3 linked regions of the Arabidopsis thaliana genome follow. The protein of the gene in region 3 interacts with the protein of the main gene of each other region in a biochemical or structural test. Each region holds a gene or a part of one and is shown on either strand. Other genes may lie near its edges. The genes, in order: KIN10, KIN11 and NUC.

The links.
Region 1: the proteins of NUC (region 3) and KIN10 form a complex in vitro, tested with the Arabidopsis thaliana proteins (one study listed by BioGRID).
Region 2: the proteins of NUC (region 3) and KIN11 form a complex in vitro, tested with the Arabidopsis thaliana proteins (one study listed by BioGRID).

Annotation. Positions count from the first base shown.
Region 1 is NC_003074.8:30,458-36,899, forward strand, and holds KIN10 (SNF1 kinase homolog 10), read right to left. Parts: upstream 4,031-6,442; 5' UTR 3,687-4,030; coding exon 3,621-3,686; intron 3,524-3,620; coding exon 3,331-3,523; intron 3,207-3,330; coding exon 3,022-3,206; intron 2,920-3,021; coding exon 2,737-2,919; intron 2,645-2,736; coding exon 2,513-2,644; intron 2,397-2,512; coding exon 2,211-2,396; intron 2,120-2,210; coding exon 2,030-2,119; intron 1,921-2,029; coding exon 1,837-1,920; intron 1,764-1,836; coding exon 1,626-1,763; intron 1,541-1,625; coding exon 1,304-1,540; intron 1,094-1,303; coding exon 980-1,093; 3' UTR 724-979; downstream 1-723. Other genes in the region: AT3G01085 (Protein kinase superfamily protein), read left to right, coding at 1-94, 355-365; HYP1 (hypothetical protein 1), read right to left, coding at 4,556-4,684, 4,865-5,098, 5,395-5,670, 5,757-6,033, 6,119-6,417. UniProt on the Arabidopsis thaliana protein: Catalytic subunit of the probable trimeric SNF1-related protein kinase (SnRK) complex, a central regulator of cellular energy homeostasis, which, in response to seemingly unrelated darkness, sugar and stress conditions, activates energy-producing pathways and inhibits energy-consuming processes.
Region 2 is NC_003074.8:11,127,806-11,134,314, forward strand, and holds KIN11 (SNF1 kinase homolog 11), read right to left. Parts: upstream 4,301-6,509; 5' UTR 4,152-4,300; exon of another isoform or gene 4,004-4,151; intron 3,709-4,003; 5' UTR 3,706-3,708; coding exon 3,513-3,705; intron 3,384-3,512; coding exon 3,199-3,383; intron 3,105-3,198; coding exon 2,922-3,104; intron 2,827-2,921; coding exon 2,695-2,826; intron 2,598-2,694; coding exon 2,412-2,597; intron 2,337-2,411; coding exon 2,247-2,336; intron 2,162-2,246; coding exon 2,078-2,161; intron 1,995-2,077; coding exon 1,854-1,994; intron 1,718-1,853; coding exon 1,487-1,717; intron 1,202-1,486; coding exon 1,088-1,201; 3' UTR 815-1,087; downstream 1-814. UniProt on the Arabidopsis thaliana protein: Catalytic subunit of the probable trimeric SNF1-related protein kinase (SnRK) complex, a central regulator of cellular energy homeostasis, which, in response to seemingly unrelated darkness, sugar and stress conditions, activates energy-producing pathways and inhibits energy-consuming processes.
Region 3 is NC_003076.8:17,770,466-17,776,692, reverse strand, and holds NUC (C2H2-like zinc finger protein), read right to left. Parts: upstream 3,838-6,227; 5' UTR 3,603-3,837; coding exon 3,464-3,602; exon of another isoform or gene 3,058-3,463; coding exon of another isoform or gene 3,036-3,057; coding exon 2,639-3,035; intron 2,045-2,638; coding exon 1,180-2,044; 3' UTR 944-1,179; downstream 1-943. UniProt on the Arabidopsis thaliana protein: Transcription activator that binds to the DNA sequence 5'-CTTTTGTCC-3'. Regulates photoperiodic flowering by modulating sugar transport and metabolism. Regulates SUS1 and SUS4. Transcription factor that regulates tissue boundaries and asymmetric cell division.

The sequences.
Region 1 (6,442 bases), on a different chromosome or scaffold from region 3:
AAGATTTTTCAAACAAATGGGATGAATGAAATATTACGGAGGACTGAAAGTGATGTTAGAGTTGGTGTTCGAAGACCACCACGAATAGAGAGAGGTTAAAATTTGGGGAAAAAGCGAATTAAATTACCAGAATTTTTAGCCAAAGATATATATACATTTTTTACCTACCATCATGATTTGTAGTCCATATTTGTTTAATTTTTCATTTAAAAAAAAAAGCCCAAGTCAGTGTGAAATTATTCAATTTCAGGTTTACCAAAAGATAATTGTGTCTTTTTTTATTATTATTACAAATTTCCTTGTATTTTTGTGAGAGTTTATCTCACACTTGATGTGTTTTTTTTTTTTTTGCAGGAGAAGATTAACTGGTAGGTAAAACCACACGTTGGAAACTTTTGAAATTCTTTTTGGGCTTGTTTTTGAGTTTGTATAGTTTTTGGATCTTAGTTCGAAATAAACACATCAAGCTCATCCTAAATGTTCGTTTTTCAATGTCTTAATATTAGTAGGATGACAAAAACAAAAAACAACTATTTTTGAATTTGCTAATTTGTTTACACAAAAAATATAGTGTAATATTGACCCATCAAATAATACACGAAACAAAAACAACTACTTCTGAATTTGCTAATTTGTTTTCAATGAAACTAATTTAAACATCTTTCCTTCAATTTTTGTCAAAATGTCTTTCCCTTAACTTATTGATTTTAATCATAAGAAATATGGAGTAAACAAAAACAAAAATCAATCTTGGTGGCATGATGCACTACAAGTTATGTACAAAGTGTCTTTTTTTTACTCTTGCTCAGTCTTACATTTAAGTTAAAAGAGGTATTTGAGTAGAGCACGCATATAGAAATAGAAAGAAAGAGAAGAAGAAAAAAAGGGTTACGTTTTCTAAATAATTTCTTAGACGAATAAGAAAAAAAAAAAAAAAGGAATAAGTGGGGATTATTCTTGAAGAGGTCCGGTTTAGTATTCAGAGGACTCGGAGCTGAGCAAGAAAAGCAGCACACAGATCCAAGAACAAGAACTGAGGACCTTGTACTCTCTGCAAATCCAGTAGATACTTGTCGTCCCGAGTTTTATACAACTGTTTCACCATCAACAATAACAAACGTCATCAAGCCCAGAAAATATTGATTGATAGTTAGATTCATGAAGATTCACTCTAGTTCTAATTCAGTTACAAAAATGGCCATGGACACTAATACACAAAGCTTTCTTTCACTCGAAATCACACATCAGAAACAATGTCGTACGGGAAACCGATATGTATCATGAAGTGGAGAAGAGGATTTACCTGAATTTCAAACTTGACAACATTGGGCGACTTAACAGCTGCTTCGTTCTCTATTATGCTGGACTCGTCTCCAAAGTAGTTGTTATCGTGCATCGAGTTACTGAGCATACCATCTGCGCTGCTGTTAGGAACCCATCTGCACTTCATGTTGTAGTGCCCTATCTTCTTCCAACATACATTCAAATCTTGCAGGGCTTTCAGGACTTCCGTCATTATTTCACGGGGATGAGCCCGAGACTGTGCGATCAAATTGTTACAATATTAATCACATATATATCAAAAGCTGAAGTCTTTATACCATAAATACAGAAAATATCAAAACCTGAAGTCCAAGAGCCCATTTTCTCTCAACAGGGTATTGAGATCTCAAGCCAACTCCTTGATATTCCATCAGTCCTGGAAGCCGATGGCTAACAGGTGAAGCAACGCTTTCTGCTGGATGCATACGGGGAGTACCTTCCTGATTAAATCAAACAATGAAGCATTACGTCAAAGATCTTTTGCTAAAGTCGAAAAGGACAAAAAAGACTAACCATGGTCTCTTGAAACTCAGCCCCGAGATAACCACTAGAGGCACGGAAACGATTGTCCAGTATCAGATAGTACGTCACAGTGCCCTGGAAGACAGTCGGTAAGAATACAGTATTTAAGATCTTTTGATGGAATTTTTTTTAATCTTTGAAATGAAAGAAACAGCAAAAGAACAAGTGGGTGGGAAACACATACATCATTCTGGGTTCGGTTGCGGAGCGATTCGATGAGGTGGTTTCTGTCAAATCCCATATTGATAACTTCTTGGAGAATCTCCTCGTCAATCTACAAATGAAGACAGCGCTTTTACGCCTTTATCGAAAAATGGGAATAGAGATTTCTCTAATGAAAATAAGAGTAGATACGTTAGGCTTACCTTTTTTGCCTGTTGCACAGTATCTGGAGGAGGAACAGCTAAATACCTCGGAAGATGAGCTTGGAACCAAGGGTGTTGCCGGATCTCAGGGATGGTTACTCGTTTCATGGGGTCAACTACAAGCATCCGGGGGATCAAATCTCTAGCACCAGGAGATAAATGGCTAGGTAATGTGTATATCCCTCCCTATAGGACGAAAAGAGAAAAAAAAAAGGTTACAGTCGAAGGGTGATACGAAAAATAAAATAAAAAATTCAAGCATTAGTTCAAATAGACGAAAGAGGAGGAGTAATAGAATGTACCTTTATCTTCTTAAAAAGGTTGGGAATGTTTTCATCATCAAATGGAAGCGTCCCACAGAGAAGAGCGTAGAGTATCACACCACAGCTCCAGACATCTACTTCAGGGCCAGCATATAACTTGCCCGAAATTACCTGAAACAATTTATAGATCTCGACTATAACCTATCATTTGAAACAAGCCTAATTATAGTATTCCTCAGATACCTGAGGGCTGAAGCACTTACCTCTGGAGCGGCATAATTTGGACTTCCACAACTTGTCTTCAAAAAATGACCATCTCGCATTATGTTGCTCAGGCCAAAATCAGCAATCTTTACATTGCATTTAGAGTCCAAAAGCAAGTTTTCAGGCTTGAGGTCTCTGTGAACCACCATGTTTCGATGGCAGTATTCCACTCCTGATATTATCTACATCAAAGCCAAGTAGCTAATTCTTAACTCTCAAATATAATATAAAATCGAATGGTTGCTTGGAAAGTTACATGTTGATAAAATAAAATAAAAACATACCTGCTGAAAAAAGTTCCTCGCCTCATCCTCCTGCAATCTACCCTTCTCAACAATATAGTCAAATAGCTCACCAGAGTTCACATACTCCATGACAAGATAAATATCTGTGGGAGTCTCTATAACCTCATAGAGACGGATGATGTGAGGATGCATAAATAGTCTCAAGATTTTGATCTCTCTCCTCACTGCATCAAAGACCAAATAAGTTCAAAGGAAGGAAGACGAAAAAGAAGCTATATATTTATATATTCCAAGAGTACCGTGAAGTCACAACTAAGGTGGAATGGATACACAAAACAAAACTTGTACCTTTCTCCTCCATCTCCATGTTCTTGATTTTGCGACGATTGAGGATCTTGATAGCAACCTTATGTCCTGTCAATGCATGCTCAGCTATCTTCACCCTACCAAAGGAACCAATACCAAGAGTTCTCCCAAGCTTGTAATTTGGTAGAATCGATTCTACCCCACTTCTACTGCCTGTGCCTGATCCATCCATTCTCTACAAAAAAAGAGAGAGAGATATTAGATCTACTAGTACACAACACACAAAACAAACTGCAAAAGAGTAATAGGAACAAAAAGCAAGTAATTTTTACACTTTTGAAGATTCTGTGATCGATCGTTGAAGAAACTAAATTAAACTCATCTACTCGTTTGAACATGAGAATTTAGCGAGAATTAGGATCCCTTTTATTATCCAGAATAAACCAACCAACACTAAGAAGAGAGCTTAAAATAGCAATTTTCAGACTATCCCCAATTCGGAATATGAACCCTAATAATAATTCAATCGCAGAGGATTACTGGATCTCTCGTACCCGATTCAGAAATGACGATTTCAAGATCAATCCATTGATTTGCAAAAGGGCGAGAATTTTTTTTATTTCCGAAATAAGAAAATTGAGAGATATCGAAACTTACCAAAAATTAAAAAAGGCGGAGGAGAAAATTCGGAACCAAAAAATGCAGCAAAAAAAAGTCCCAAAATTTTCTGAGCTGAAAAAGTAAAATTGAGGAAGATCCAGAGATCAGCTTAAACCCAGAAATTATTGATAGATTCTTCCTCTCGCTTTCATTGCTCTCGCTCCTGTAGCCTATAAGGCGCAAGCAAGTATCAAAGACGAAATTATTTGATTTTTGGTTCCATAAACGGATCAATCTTTAACTAAATTACCCCCAGAGTTACGACTAATTACAATATATACCCCCATGCGGACGTGGCATCTAGTCATCATCTTTTTGCTAAATATTCTCTGTGGTAAAATTATTAACCACCGTTTTGTTTTGGCATCTTTCAAAAAGTTTGTACCGTCTTAAACCGGTTTAGAGAGATACATTGACATAAACTTTTTTTCTTTTTTACACAAGCCAAGTGTAAGCAAATGTACAAGACAAAAACCGCTTGATTCTCGGTTAAGACCCAATGTACAAGACAACCGGTTTAGTGTGTTCTTTCATGGATTGCACCAGGTATAGTAAACCAACAGCTTCAACATAAGCAAACTTCAATAGCTCAAGTAAAAAGGTGATCTCAAGGTGAGATATCTCTCGAGTCCTGTGATGCCGAAAGTGCAGGATCTCGGTAAGCAACAACGAGTTCCGAATAGAATTCAGACATGTTTTGCTCTCTCTCGTCTGCTTTATCTTTGTTTACCAGACACTGCAAAAGTAAAACATCCATCATCACCATATAAAGGTTTAGAGTAGATGCTGTAATGTAATAAAGGACTATGCATCATGTTCTGTTTGTTTTGTTTAGGTTAGGAATAAAAGATTATCTAGCCATATTTTTCTTCCATTGGATCAAAAATATGAGTAACTATTTCTCTAAAGCCTTTACCTGGGTAGGATAAGATTTGAAATTTGGTAAAAACCGTCTTTGGCAGTAAATGCTGAAAAGGACCGTGAGAACCGGAAGGGGAATTGTTAAAGAAGATGCCACTGGAAGCTCTTTAAGCCCGAATAATCCGACTGCAATAATGTGCATTAGTACCAAAGAGAAGATAGTATAGCTGTGAACTATTGGCCAAAACTTTCCACCAGTTTCATACTTGGCCGCATATACGTTTAGGAGCTGCAGCACAAAAAGGTGATGTTATTTCTATCAACAAGTTGCAATGGATTCATTAAGAAGAAAAAGAATTATGTGACGAGAAAATGGATTCTTGATGTAACGTTTATGTCATGACTGAAGCTCCAAAAAATACTTTCGGTTTAAAGATGCTATTCGAGAATTTAGAAAAGGGATCACATATAAAGAGAAGATAAAAGTGAGATTCCATATAACGAAAATATGTGTAGCTGATTCCTATATGATTTTATCAGAGATCAACAGAGAATTATACTTAGGAGTGAGATTGGTTCCGTTACCTGGTTGCGGTAGATGATATATCCAAGACAATAGTAGACCAACAAGAAAGGCAGTATCAATGGCGAAAGGAAGAAGTAAGTTATACCGAGGAGTCCAAAAAATAGAATCCTTGGGATTTCTTGGCAGAAAGGAGTTGAAGGAACCTCAAATTCTTTGTCATCTTCCTTGCCGAAAAGTTTCGTTATGAAACTCCAAAGAAGAGGAACCAAACGGAGGATCTCTGATGATAAACCAGTCCATCCAGAGGTCACAACATAAGATACAAAGAACGATGCCTACACCAAAGATTAAACAATAAACATGACTCGTGGTACGAAAAGGGAATTCCGGAAACCTCAATACTGAATTTTGTGTTCTTTACCTGTGCTGGCACAGCTGCAGCAAGCACACGAGGAATAGTCTTAGGTTCAAGGAACACATTAACACGATAAAGGGCAGATCCGGACAGTACATTTGCAAAGAAACTGTTCCATACAGTAAAGATTAGAAGCTTGATACATGCAGATTTCTCAATCTGGCTATGAGAAATGAATCCTTGCATTGAGGAAAGTAGAAGCATAATGGGTGGTACTATAAGAAGGAAAAGCTGGAAAATGAGACTCGGAAGATATCCCGTAATCACTTGACTCACGATTTTCCTGCAATCATAAGAAAAAAAAGAAGATTTTGTAATTGTTCAATTGAAACGAAGAACCATCTTTATCTAAATAGGGCTTTACTTACATATTTAATATTCCTTTTAGAAAAGGGAACCAAGTCTCCAACTGGTGAAGATTAGCAAGACCTTGAACCAATACAACGGGGACAATGTATAGGATCAAAAGAGCTACGAAAGCCACAAGCACCACTACATTGGAGATCCATCTTCTCACAAACGATGCAGTGAAAAATGGCCAATGAACATCTTCGGGCTCCGGGGCTGCCTCAGTTAGCCATTGTGTTGGATCTATTCCTTGCTGAATGTTTGTTGCTATTGCAGCACCATGTCTTGTCCTAAAGGAAACAAAAGCAGCTGGAACTTCCTAAAAGGGTTTGCCAAAAAAAAAG
Region 2 (6,509 bases), on a different chromosome or scaffold from region 3:
GGAAGTGTTTTTCCTTAAATTGGCAGAAATTTAGGCAACCAGGAGAAGAAGGCTATACACACTTTTTCTGCGAAGGTGGCAGAAATTTATGACGGTGTTATGGACTATCATAAGGATACATGTTTTGCTTGTCCTTGGTTGTGTAAAGCTGGTTTCTTCTATGAATGTAGTAAAGAATGATGTTGTTTTCTGCTACACATGCAATGCGCCAAGATTTCTGAGCCACTAGTCCATCCAAGTCATTTGCATCCTTTATTCCTAACAACCAAACCGGGAGAGAAGCGAAGACATTTTTCAGTTTGCAAAGAGCTAGGACATTATTCCAGAAAGGAAACATTCAATTGCATTGAGTGTGACTACTTTTCTTTGTGTTTCAAATGTGCTACATTACCTCATAAGGTAATGTATAAGCATGATAAACATATGTTCACTCTTTCTTATGGGGATGAGATAAGTACAACGATGTATTGGTGTGAAGTTTGCGGTCCGAACCGACTGATGATGAAAAATCAGCAAAATAAATCCGAAGGAGCGGTTTTATGTGTGATGAGTACTGTAGTGTTACCCTACACATTCAATGTATGTTTGGGGTGGACTTATCCTTGAAGCCCGATATATTATTGTCCGACGGCGACCTATTTACTCCTTTTGCAAGAAGCATTGTCCACACAAAGTAGCTCTCCAATGTTCTGTATTAATATCGTGTTCCACATCTTGTATTGATGCTAAGGACTTAAGTTGGGTAGCCGAATTTTGTGAAATGGAATTTTGATGGACTCTGCGTGCAATGTTTTTAGGTATGACATGTATAATGTGTCTGATATAAACGTTGTATAAAATTGGCATCAGAGGAGAAATACAATAGTTAGAATGAAACAGCTAAGTTATGTACACATGATCAAACCTTAAAAACCATCAAAAAGAAGAAAGGATAGTTACTATTACAGTAGAGTTTAACTTAGAATCCAGGTATATAAAAGTAACCCGGCAAAGTAAACACTGCACCCACATATTATATTATGTTCTCTACTATTACAAACCATTGAACATGAAAGAAAAAAAATGTCTCAACAAATGGTTAAAACATTCAGATCACACGAAGCTCTGTAAGAAAGGCGGCGCATAGATCCAAGAAGAGAAACTGCGGACCGTTAACTCTCTGTATATCCAGCAAGTACTTCTCTTCCCGGGCTTTGTATAGCTGTTTCAAAATCAAAAGTGAACTCAGAAAGTGTATAATTGTTCTTCGAAAACAGTTGGTTCAAGTTCTAAAGAAGGTTTTAGTCTATGTCCTAGCTGGTTTAGTTTTGTTGAACTACTACTAGTGGGATAAAACAACATCAGGATCTTAGTCTTTGCTCCAGCACAATTCTACGAATGTAAACCCCGTTGATCGATTCATATCCCTAACAAACCGAACTAGGCAGTTGTTTATTTTCTCCAAGGAATGTTGTTGATACAAATGTATGTGTGAGTTTATAGTTACCTGAAGTTCAAATTTGATGACAGTGGGTGAAGTCATGGCACAGTCATCCTCAATGATGCTGGATTCATCTCTGAAGTGCAGCTGATTGTTGACCATAGTATTCTGACCATCAGCTAAACCAGGAACCCATCGACATTTCATGTTGTAGTGACCAATCTTCTTCCAACACACATTGAGTTCTTGAAGAGCTTTCAAAACTTCATTCATGATTTCACGAGGATGCGCATGAGACTGTTCAAAACAACAAGGTAACAGAATGATTATCGATTTGGCTATGTAGAGGCAAAGAGTACAGATATCTGATTGTGTGTTGCATTCAGAAGACTTTATGGTGAGGAACAAAAAGAATCAGTAATCAGGAACAAACCTGAAGTCCAAGAGCCCATTTTCGATCAACAGGGACTTGTGATCTTGCTCCCAACCCGTAGTGATCCACATGTGCAGGAATCCAGTGGCCTACAGGTGAAGCGCCCGCTTCAGGTGTGCGCATAGGATTGGAACCACTGTCCTAGATGAGTAACGTTGAAAAGGTGAACATGTTAGTCAAAAATGTTGGAAAGCTATCTACTGAGAGGAAAGAAAAACACATACTGTTGTCTCCTGAAACTCGGATTCTAGATAGCCACTTGGAACACGGAACCGGTTATCCAATAACAGGTAGTATGTAACAGTAGCCTGGTACAAGGAGCAAATGGCATTTCAGTGACTATTGGAAACTAGTTTCGGGGATTAAAAGCATTAGAGACAGGAAACTACATACATCGTTTTGTGTTCTGTTGCGTAGAGATTCCAAAACCTGGTTTCTATCAAATCCCATGTTAACCACTTCTTGAACTATCTCCTCATTGATCTGCAAAACATAAGAGATATTGTTACTATCACAGCAAGTGAACTCTATTAATCTCCAAATGGCACTGAAACCAACCTTTTTAGCCTGCTCTACTGTATCCGGTGGAGAGACAGCAAGATAACGAGGGAGATGAGTCTGGAACCAACGGTGTTGACGGATCTCAGGAATGGTGATTCGTTTCACCGGGTCAACTATAAGCATCCTTGGGATCAGGTCTCTAGCCTCAGATGATAAATGACTTGGAAGAGTGTAAATCCCACCCTAAAGAGAAAAAAAACACCTTGATAAGTTACTTCACATACATATGAATCCATTTAAGAAGAGTCTTTTAGCTGAATCAAAGTATAACGTACAGTACCTTAATTTTCTTGAAAAGGTTGGGAATGTTTTCATCATCAAAAGGAAGAGTACCGCATAATAGAGCGTACAATATAACTCCGCAACTCCATACATCTACTTCAGGTCCAGCATATAATTTACCTGATATAACCTACAACAAGAAGTAAGAGATAAGACACTCATAAGAGAAACGAGACATAGTCACATAGGTGAAAAACAATTCAGTAACTTTACTAAACTATATACCTCGGGAGCAGCGTAGTTGGGGCTTCCACAACTCGTCTTTAGAAAATGACCATCCCGCATAACATTACTCAACCCAAAGTCTGCAATCTTAATATTACACCTCGAATCCAATAGTAAATTCTCAGGCTTCAGGTCTCTATGGACAACCATATTACGATGGCAGTACTCTACACCAGATATTATCTATTCGGATATGAGTCAAACACAAACAACACTCAAACTCAAAGATGACATGATACGCTACAAACACACTGGTTATGGTAAAGAGAAAACAAACCTGCTGGAAAAAGTTACGAGCCTCATCTTCTTGTAATCTGCCTTTCTCAACAATATAATCAAAGAGCTCTCCAGACTTGACATACTCCATCACAACATAAATGTCACTCGTGGTCTCTATTACCTCATACTGCCGAATAATATGAGGATGCATAAACAACCGTAGAATCTTAATCTCCCTCCTCACTGTAAAGAAGAAATATACATACATTAAGATAAAAATACATACTAAAACCTAATAAGCAGAAACATTTGATTATCAAAGCTTTTGTTCTAGAAACCACTAAAGCTAAAAGTAACGGTGCTTGTATATACCTTTCTCTTCCATCTCCATGTTCTTGATCTTACGACGATTAAGGATTTTGATAGCAACCTTATGCCCTGTGACAACATGCTCTGCTATTTTCACCTTCCCAAAAGACCCAATTCCAAGAGTTTTACCAAGCTTGTAATTCGGTAAAATCGATTCCACTCCATTATTGCCAAATCTATTTGATGAATGATCCATTTCCTGTGTCCCAATTCAACATCAAACTCATAAGTAAGCTCTCTTAGCAACTTCTCTATAGAAAAACATCAGTAAACATATTAACTTGCTCAAATAAAAAAAAACATTCTTCAACTCAATTTTCATTTCATCAAATCTAATCTAAACCAACCATAAGCTTGTAAGAAAACTGACAAGAACCACCGACATAACTACTTTGTAATGGTGGTTTTGGTCTGAAACCAAACAAGAGACTCACAAGTTTGAGTTTAGAAGACAAAATTGATAAACCTTTACAAAGAAAAAAAAGTCAATTTACCTGAAAAGCTTGTTAATTTCGAAAACCGTCTTGGAGTAGATCCGAGAATCAAAAACCCAGATAAATTGTTCAAACAAAGAGCGAAGAAATATACAGAAACAAGGAGAATCAGATTGATGGGTATAAATAGGGCAGAATTGTAAATTACGATGTAATCTGAAGAAATTCTTGGGGAAGTCAGATTTCCAACTCGTAGGTGACGCAGAGCTGAGTCAGGTTTTTTTAAGTCTTCATGGTGAAAATTGGTAATGACGAATCAAGAAACCACAAAACCCAGATAAACATTTATTGCCATTTGCAAGCCCTTAAATTAGGGCCTTTTTGCCCATTTTCTGTTTTTGTTTGAAAAACTAGTTTTTTAAGGTTTAAAATTTTTATATTACTGTTTTTATGATCTATATATACATTTTTGCAGCCACTTTGTGAAATAAATCCTAGAGTTGGAGTTTATTTACAGTGGCTGCCACTCGCATTTAATAATTGTTTTTGATAATTAGAAAGAAAATCTTTAAATTAAATATTTGACAATCTTCCCAAAATCTTTCCACATTAACTACACGATTAGTTACTAAAATAAAACTTCCGAAATATTTAATATCATTTAATTACTACAAAATTATCATTTTTGATATTGTTTTTCTACATGACTATAATAATTCGATTATAATCATCAAACCGCAGAGATATTAGATAGCATTTAATTACTACAAAATTAAAAAATATTTAGACAATGATTCATAAACATATCATAAATAAAATCAGTGAATTTTTTTTACGGGACGGATTGGCGGGACGGGTTTGACAGGACGTTACTTAATAACAATCGTAAACTATAAAATAAAAATATTTTATAGATAAATATAATTTGCAAATTTTTATATATAGTAACTTTAAAAAATAAATTGTCTCCGCGGTATACCGCGGGTTAAAATCTAGTTTTCTATATATAAAAGCGTGCTAATGATAAAGCGGATAAATTAAGAAGTTTCAGACGCATTTTATTATATAAAGTAGAGTTTTTAAAGTTAATAACTCAACTGATCGTGACACGTAACAAGTCAATCGTTCATATGTTGATATTGTGTCGGATTTTTTTTTACTTTTTTCCTAAAAGAAATAGGCAATTTAACAAAAACAAATATTTACATATACTAATTTATATGTCTATATCTAAAAAAAATAAGTTATAGTTTACTTAACTAAGAAGGGAAACTAACAATAAGATGGAGTGTATAGAATTAAATTGTATTTGTATTGCAAAATCGAATTGTATTTGAAATGTATACAATCAAATTTAATTGTATTTGTATTATAATAAAATAGATATTTAAATTGTATTGCATAATCGAGATTTTTTAAATATTTTTTCTAAAAGAAATAGGAAATTTAACCAATAAAAATACATACACCAATTTATATTTCTATATCTAAAAAATTTAACTTAAAATTTTCTTAACTAAGAAGGAAAACTAACACAATAAGATGGAGTGTATAGAATAAAATTATATTTGTATTGCAAAATCAAATTGTATATGAATTGTATGGAATCGAATTAAATTGTATTTTTATATAATAAAATAGATATTTAAATTGTATTGCAAAATCGAGATTTTTTAAATATTTTTTCTAAAAGAAATAGGAAATTTAACAAAAACAAATACATATACCAATTTATATTTCTATATCGAAAAATTTAACTTAAAATTTTCTTAACTAAGAAGGAAAACTAACACAATAAGATGGAGTGTATAGAATAAAATTGTATTTGTATTGCAAAATCAAATTGTATATGAATTGTATGGAATCGAATTAAATTGTATTTTTATATAATAAAATAGATATTTAAATTGTATTGCAAAATTGAATATGTAAGATTGAAATTTGGTTTAAGGAAATACTAAATTAAATACTGAAAAGTATATGAATTATTATTTAAAATTTAAATATCATCAATAAGATGGATGTAGTCTATAGAATTAAAACAGTTTATTAAGATAAAATAGATAGTTCAAATGTAGAATAATTGCTGAGAATGCCCTTTTCACACTACCTTTTTCAGTTATACCCTTTCATATTTGACATTTTCATTTCTACTTTCAGTAAATTTTTAATGACTATTTTACCCTTATTTGGAAATTGTTTTTTGCCTAAAATATTCCAAATAAATTTCCTGCCAATAAAATACCATAGTTTTTGTTTTTGAGCATTTTTTTTAATACACCTTTTACACAGAATTCATTGTATATACTCGTATATAGCTTTCATTGTATTTAACAACTGTATAACCATAATACAGTACTGCTTCCAACTGTACAGTATAGATACACCGTATAAGCCGTATTTTAGAACACTAGTGTTTTATAAATGTATGTGGAAAGTTGAGCCTAATAGTTAGGCATGTCAACTAGAGATAATGCTCGTATGCTGGCCTGGCCTTACTCTAAAAACAGCGAATTCGGGTTAAATATATATATGTCTTGAAAAATTTGCTCTTTTAGACTAAATG
Region 3 (6,227 bases):
TTAGATCCAATAAGTCCTATAATCTAGAGATTAATCTGCAGTATATCGCAGGTAGGCTTATATTTTAGTTAAACTAAAAACTTTTATTGTAAAGATGATTTAAAAATATATGATATTATTTTATTTGATTTTAAATGTATAGTAGACTGTGAGTTGTATATGTTTTGTTGATATTATCTATATTGTTTAGTGTTTAAGATTATACACTTGTAGTTTGATTATTAATTTAAGAGTTTCACATGTAGTATACCATCTTGTATTAATATCGATATAAACCCGTCAATTCTAGGATTTTCCAGCTTGTATTAAAAATTGAATCACATCTAATATGTTATTAACTATTGTAGTATATAAGATTATAAATTTTCAATATAATATGTATGAAATTGAATATAAATATTTCAAATTTATGTCTCGTTACTCAGTAGAAAGTTTTCTTAAATATATTTTTCACCCGTTATAATATTATTTCATGTATTGAACAGTTTATATTCGTTTTTAAAAATTTAAATTATGGCATATGCGAAAAAACTCTAATTATTTTTTTATAATGATGATATTATTTTTCCGTAAAAATAGAATCATATAAAGATGAGAAATGAACTATAATAATTAATAAAAAATTAATATGATAATTTAGATACCAAATATAGTTTGTTGATTTTAATTGGTTACTTTTTTGGAAATTAATAATGTATTTCGTTTTTCTAATTAAATTAAATTAATTAAAATTTAGATATCAAATCTTATATGTTGATTTTGATTGGCAATTATTTTTGAAAATTAATAATGTATTTCGTTTTTTAATTAATTTAATTAATTAAATTAGTATTTGACTTTTTAATCCTTATAGAGATAAATTAATTTACTCTTTAAAATTTTATTTCTAATGGCATACCTATGTAATTACTTACAAAAATTAAGGTTACATTTAAAATGTACTTCCCGTATGATAAAAATTCAAAAGATTATGAATGTCTTGTGAATGTCATTGACATATATCTTGAAGATAAACACATTCATTATACATATATCATAAGTTTTAGAATATTGAATTAATAAAAGAAAACAACTTCCATTACCATATACATATGTTATCTTAGAAAATGGTGGAAATGACAAAAGATTCCTTCTTCTTTTACGTAATTTATGCATTAACCCCGAAATTTTTAAACTCTTTCAAATCCATCCATTGATAGACGATGGATGGCACAACGTTTGTACACCAACCCCGAGGAAATCCCGAGTTTGCCCTCCTCCACCCACTTCACCTCCACCATCAACTCTTCTACGTTTCCAAGGGTAATTCTGTAATTCATCCAAGGCAGACGCAACCGTAACGTCATTTCTAGCGTTCTCGATCTCTTGATGATCATGACTACGACTCATTAACCCAATGTTGTTGTTAGACCCGAACAAAGCAAAAAACTTTTCGCCACTGTCATAACTGGTGGTTTGATCGGTGGATTTAAGCGGGAAACTTTGAAGAAACGTTGATGGGTCATTGGTCGCTGCGGTTGTTGTAGAAGTAGCGCCAATTTCAGCAGCTTTCTGTAGTAAAGCTGTCGCGGACATATTCACGTTTGAATTTGCGTTTGCGTTTTGTGGTTGGTCGCTGCTGAATAAAGAAGGGGCAGAGAGAGTAGTGGTAGTGGTCAAACTTGCGTTTGCGTTTTGCGTAATCTGCTCATCGTGAGTATTATTATTATCAATGCAAGCAGACGCTGCCTTAGCGTTTCCAAAAACCCAATCGTAGTCCGGTTGCGGTTGAGGCGGCGCGATATCTTGTCCCATCCATAGAGAGAGCGACGAAGAAGTTGGTGGCTGAAAATGTTGATGATGATGGTTTGGATTTGTTTGCGGTTGTGGTACAAATGGTTGAAGCGGTGGGATGAATGTTCCCATGAGATATTGATAGTTGAGATTAACTGATCCTGGGGCTCCAGCCGCGGCTAAACCGTTGAGATGAGACACTGCGTTTATCTTAGCGGTTTCTTCCGCTAAGGCATCGCAGAAAGCTCTATGAGTGATAAAGCTGTCTCGCCTGTTTCAACCAAAACCACCATTAGTTAACGTCTTAATCAACATTTATCTCAATGCATTTATATCAAAGTTTTAACTGATGAAAATACTTGAAAACATTTAGCTGCCTTTTCTTTATGTGCAGCAGTAAAAGTAGAGAAAAACCTAAGTACATATTTCCGTAACATAACTATTGATGTGTCAATCTTGTGTTGACACTTTTTCCGCATATTAAGTAATAAATAATGTTACCATTTTGAACCATACACACATGAAGTACTCCATTATTTGTATATATTATTATATCTAGCTTATGTTATATGTTCATCATGGTTATTATAAATTTATACCACTTTTTGCCTCAATCATGACACTAACAAAAACATTTTCCCAAGCAAGAAACTTTACCCTACTTCAAAAGAGATAAACAAACACATAGGAAATGACAAAACATACTTATAAAACTTAATCAAACTACATATTGACAAAAACGAAGATGTAGATACTATAAAGCTACTATAGAATAGCTTTCGAACATGATCAATACAAACGACAACACATATATACATGAAGCTTATTTTTAATTTAATTGACAGAGAAAGAAAAAAAAGTGTACCTTGAGAAAATGGTGCCACAATCGCAACGGTACTCTCTAGTACCACAAGTCTTGGAATGAGCTTTCCAATCAGATTGGACTGCGTATCTCTTAGCACATTTCTCGCACGTCCACTTCTTCTCCCCGTGTTTCCGGCAAAAATGCTTTTTGATTCCAGTGAGATCGCCTAGAGCTCTAGAGGAGTGATGGTGGACACATGTCTTCTCGGGGCAAACGTAGACACGTTTTCTCACTTCTTTGCTTGTCCTCTGCTTCAACTTCCATGGAAGATTATGTCCTCGCCGATGAAGCTGTAAGTTTTGGTCTCTTTGGAAACCTTTGCCACATACCTCACATAGGAACCGGTTCGTAGCCATCAAGGTCGTGGGGGATAAAGCTATCACTTCAGCTTCCGGATCTAAGTGGATCATCATTAACATTTGTGGTTTCTTTAATTAGGTCAATTCGGAAAACAACATCTATTTTTGGATCGGATCATGTACTTTAGTAAAAATAATGTGTGTGCTTTTCTTGGTGGAGGTAATAATAATAAAGGGTATGTAAATATATTTTCTCATGGAAACTATAATGCGATTTAAAAAAGAAGAACTCTATAGATCAAATAAAAGTTTTAATTTACTAAAAGGCCTAGTATTTTCACATTAATTAAGCATGAGCCAGTGATCTATAACTCATGCAGCCAAATACTACTTTTGATTTAGGTCAAGATCCAGAACAAAACAACCCAAGAAAATTAATTTATAGGGGGCAAAAAAATAGAAAAGATACTAGGGTTTTCTTTTTAGGTGATGATCAAGCTAGCTGAGATTTAATATAAATAATTACCAGGATTTCCAGGGAGATTTCTCTTTTTCTTAACAAGAGGAGGATTGATGAGAGATTCATCATGATCCAGGGTTGATGAGCTCTGTGGCTGAGCAAAACCTGATCCACTTGAGATTGTTTGAAGAACTTCACTTGTCATGTCTTCTTCTGGGTTCTTGACTTCTTGGAAGAGAAATTAAAAGTAGGTTTTTGTATAGTTCAGAGAGAGAGAGAGAGAGAAGGAGACAAAAGGTTAATATAAGAAAAAGATTAGAAATACTAAGAAATCTGCAAGTTAACTATGAACGAGAAGGAAAAAACAACAAAGACAAAGATATATTGGGTTCTCCACTTATATATGGCTTTTGTCTTAACCTATACCACTCTATATTAGCTCCTATATATAAGTGTGTGTGTGTGGGTATATTAGCACCTTGATATGTTAAACTGTTGCAGCCATTTTGATTAAAATATGTGGTTAATTGTATTTTTCTTTTCCTTTATGAGATTATTTTAAAAGAGCAAAGTGGATGGCGGTGGAAAATCATAAGCTGAAAGTGATAGCAGCAGAGCCAATAAAATTTCAAAATGCAGAGATAGAAAAAATTTAACATCCCTTGATTACTTTATAGGCACCCTATGTTTGCAGTTTCACTATGAATTATTTCAATATAATAAACAATTTTCTTTTAGTTTGATTCATTTTATTTCATGTTCATACATCCTTAGTTTTGTATAGACATGGTATTTGCTAAGAGTAATTTTAATTACATTTTTTCACAAATGATAATCATGTATTTATGCATCATACAGCATCAAATGCTTCATTTATATTAAATCTTAGAAAAATCGATTAATAGCCTTGCAAATTCGAAGCGAGCTGTTAAAAAATGTAATTAAATTACCAAGATATTCGAAGTAATTTTGTTGTAGTAGTGCGTTATGACACATAGAAAGTTGATATTTCTATCTTTTCTATTGAGAATGATTATCTCGTTATTTTTGTGTTGCCCTTTCCTCTCCATTTTTTTTTCTGGTTTTTTGGGTCCAATAATTACTTACTTTTTGTTCCTACATGCTCATGTTAACTCAGTGCAAAAAAACAATCTTACTATATTTTTTTTGTTTTTTATTTTATTTTTTACACTTCTTTCTATATGTTTTTTTGGGGATAAAATGTGAAGTTATTTACCAAAAGGAACAGTTTATTAGAAGATCTTTTCGTAGCATCAAAGGTTCATTTGCCAAAAATAAAATAAAAATAAACAAAAATCTAGATACAACAATATTAGGCACTAGAAAGGGCTTTACGCATATGTAAACAAACTACTGGGAGATCAAAATTGTGTACGCCTTGTGATTTTTTCAAGCTTGTAGAGTATATAATACGAAATGCATCGATCAATCTGCCTAAAGAATGATGAGGCTGTAGTGGAGTGTAGTTAATCTTTTTGGATTCAAGGAGTACTTTGATACAGATAGCATAAAGAAATTGTTATATGTATATATATATATATATATGTTTTTATATATCCGTAAATTTTATCTTAAATGAATTATGTTTACAAAGTATTGTAATGTATATCTAGTTACAATAAGATACATTTGCTTTGCCAACAAATAAAAACATTAATCTGATTTATCAATTGCACAATCTCTATAATGCTTATTAATTTGAAGGTATGCAGTATAAGTAACAAAACAATGTATTAAAAAAATTGATTGACATTAGTGATCAATAAGAAAATTATAACTTTATCTATCACCTTTTTCTTTGCAATAGTTGTATTCAGTTTAAATACACAGTTAACGGGATCACTATTCACTCCCATCAGATATCATATACGGACATAGTCATTTTTGTTAGTTATTCATGAATCAGAATTTTTCACAATATGTGAAAGAGGTAAAACAGATCCAACGGTTATGGTCACATCTCTTGTTTGTCGAAGTCGAACAAAGCCTGCCATGCACGTGTACCCATGCACGTGCTCTTTAGGTATACTCCAACAACATACGACAAAAATACCTAAGATAAATTAGACATTCATTCAGACTTGAGAGTTCGTTCGACAGTAAAATCAAATGTTGAAATTTTATTATTACGATGAAGCTAGCTGAAATCAATCTCTTCAGAACCTACAACTCTTAAACTGATTCGCCTACCTATTTATTTATTATTTAACATTTTGGTTTTATGAATATTTTTTTTTTGGATTTTTTTCTTTTTGCTAACACTTTTTTTTTCGATTTGAGAAGAAAATTTGGTGTCTTTATTGAATGGTGGATAAAAGTATAATTTTTCTTGCTTTTCGATGATAAAATTTCTCCCCTCTTTTTTCTTTAAGAAAGTGGTATCAAGTAACAAAGCTTATTATTCTTTTGGAAAAAGTATATACATAAATATTTGTAATTTAACAAAGTAAATTTTTATCTCTTCCGCAAAACATAAGAATGTATTGGTCTCACATCTTTGCGAAATTCATTTACATCTCATGCGAATATATATCACTATTTTGGAATATCATCAATCTGAACTTCTTCTTGTTGGAATAAGCTTGAAGAAGAAGAAGTAACTTGAAGAGCAAGTTACTAAAGAGAAAAGGAAATTAAGCTTTATTATTCTAGGAGATAATCTAGAATATATTGTTAGGAGTTATCTTATAATATTAGGAGTTATTTAATAATTAGGATAAGGTTAAAAGCTTATTATATAAGGAGGTATCAAGGTGTGATACAACTTATGAGTTTGAGAGATTAAGAGAGTTTAGGTTTTGAGAGAATC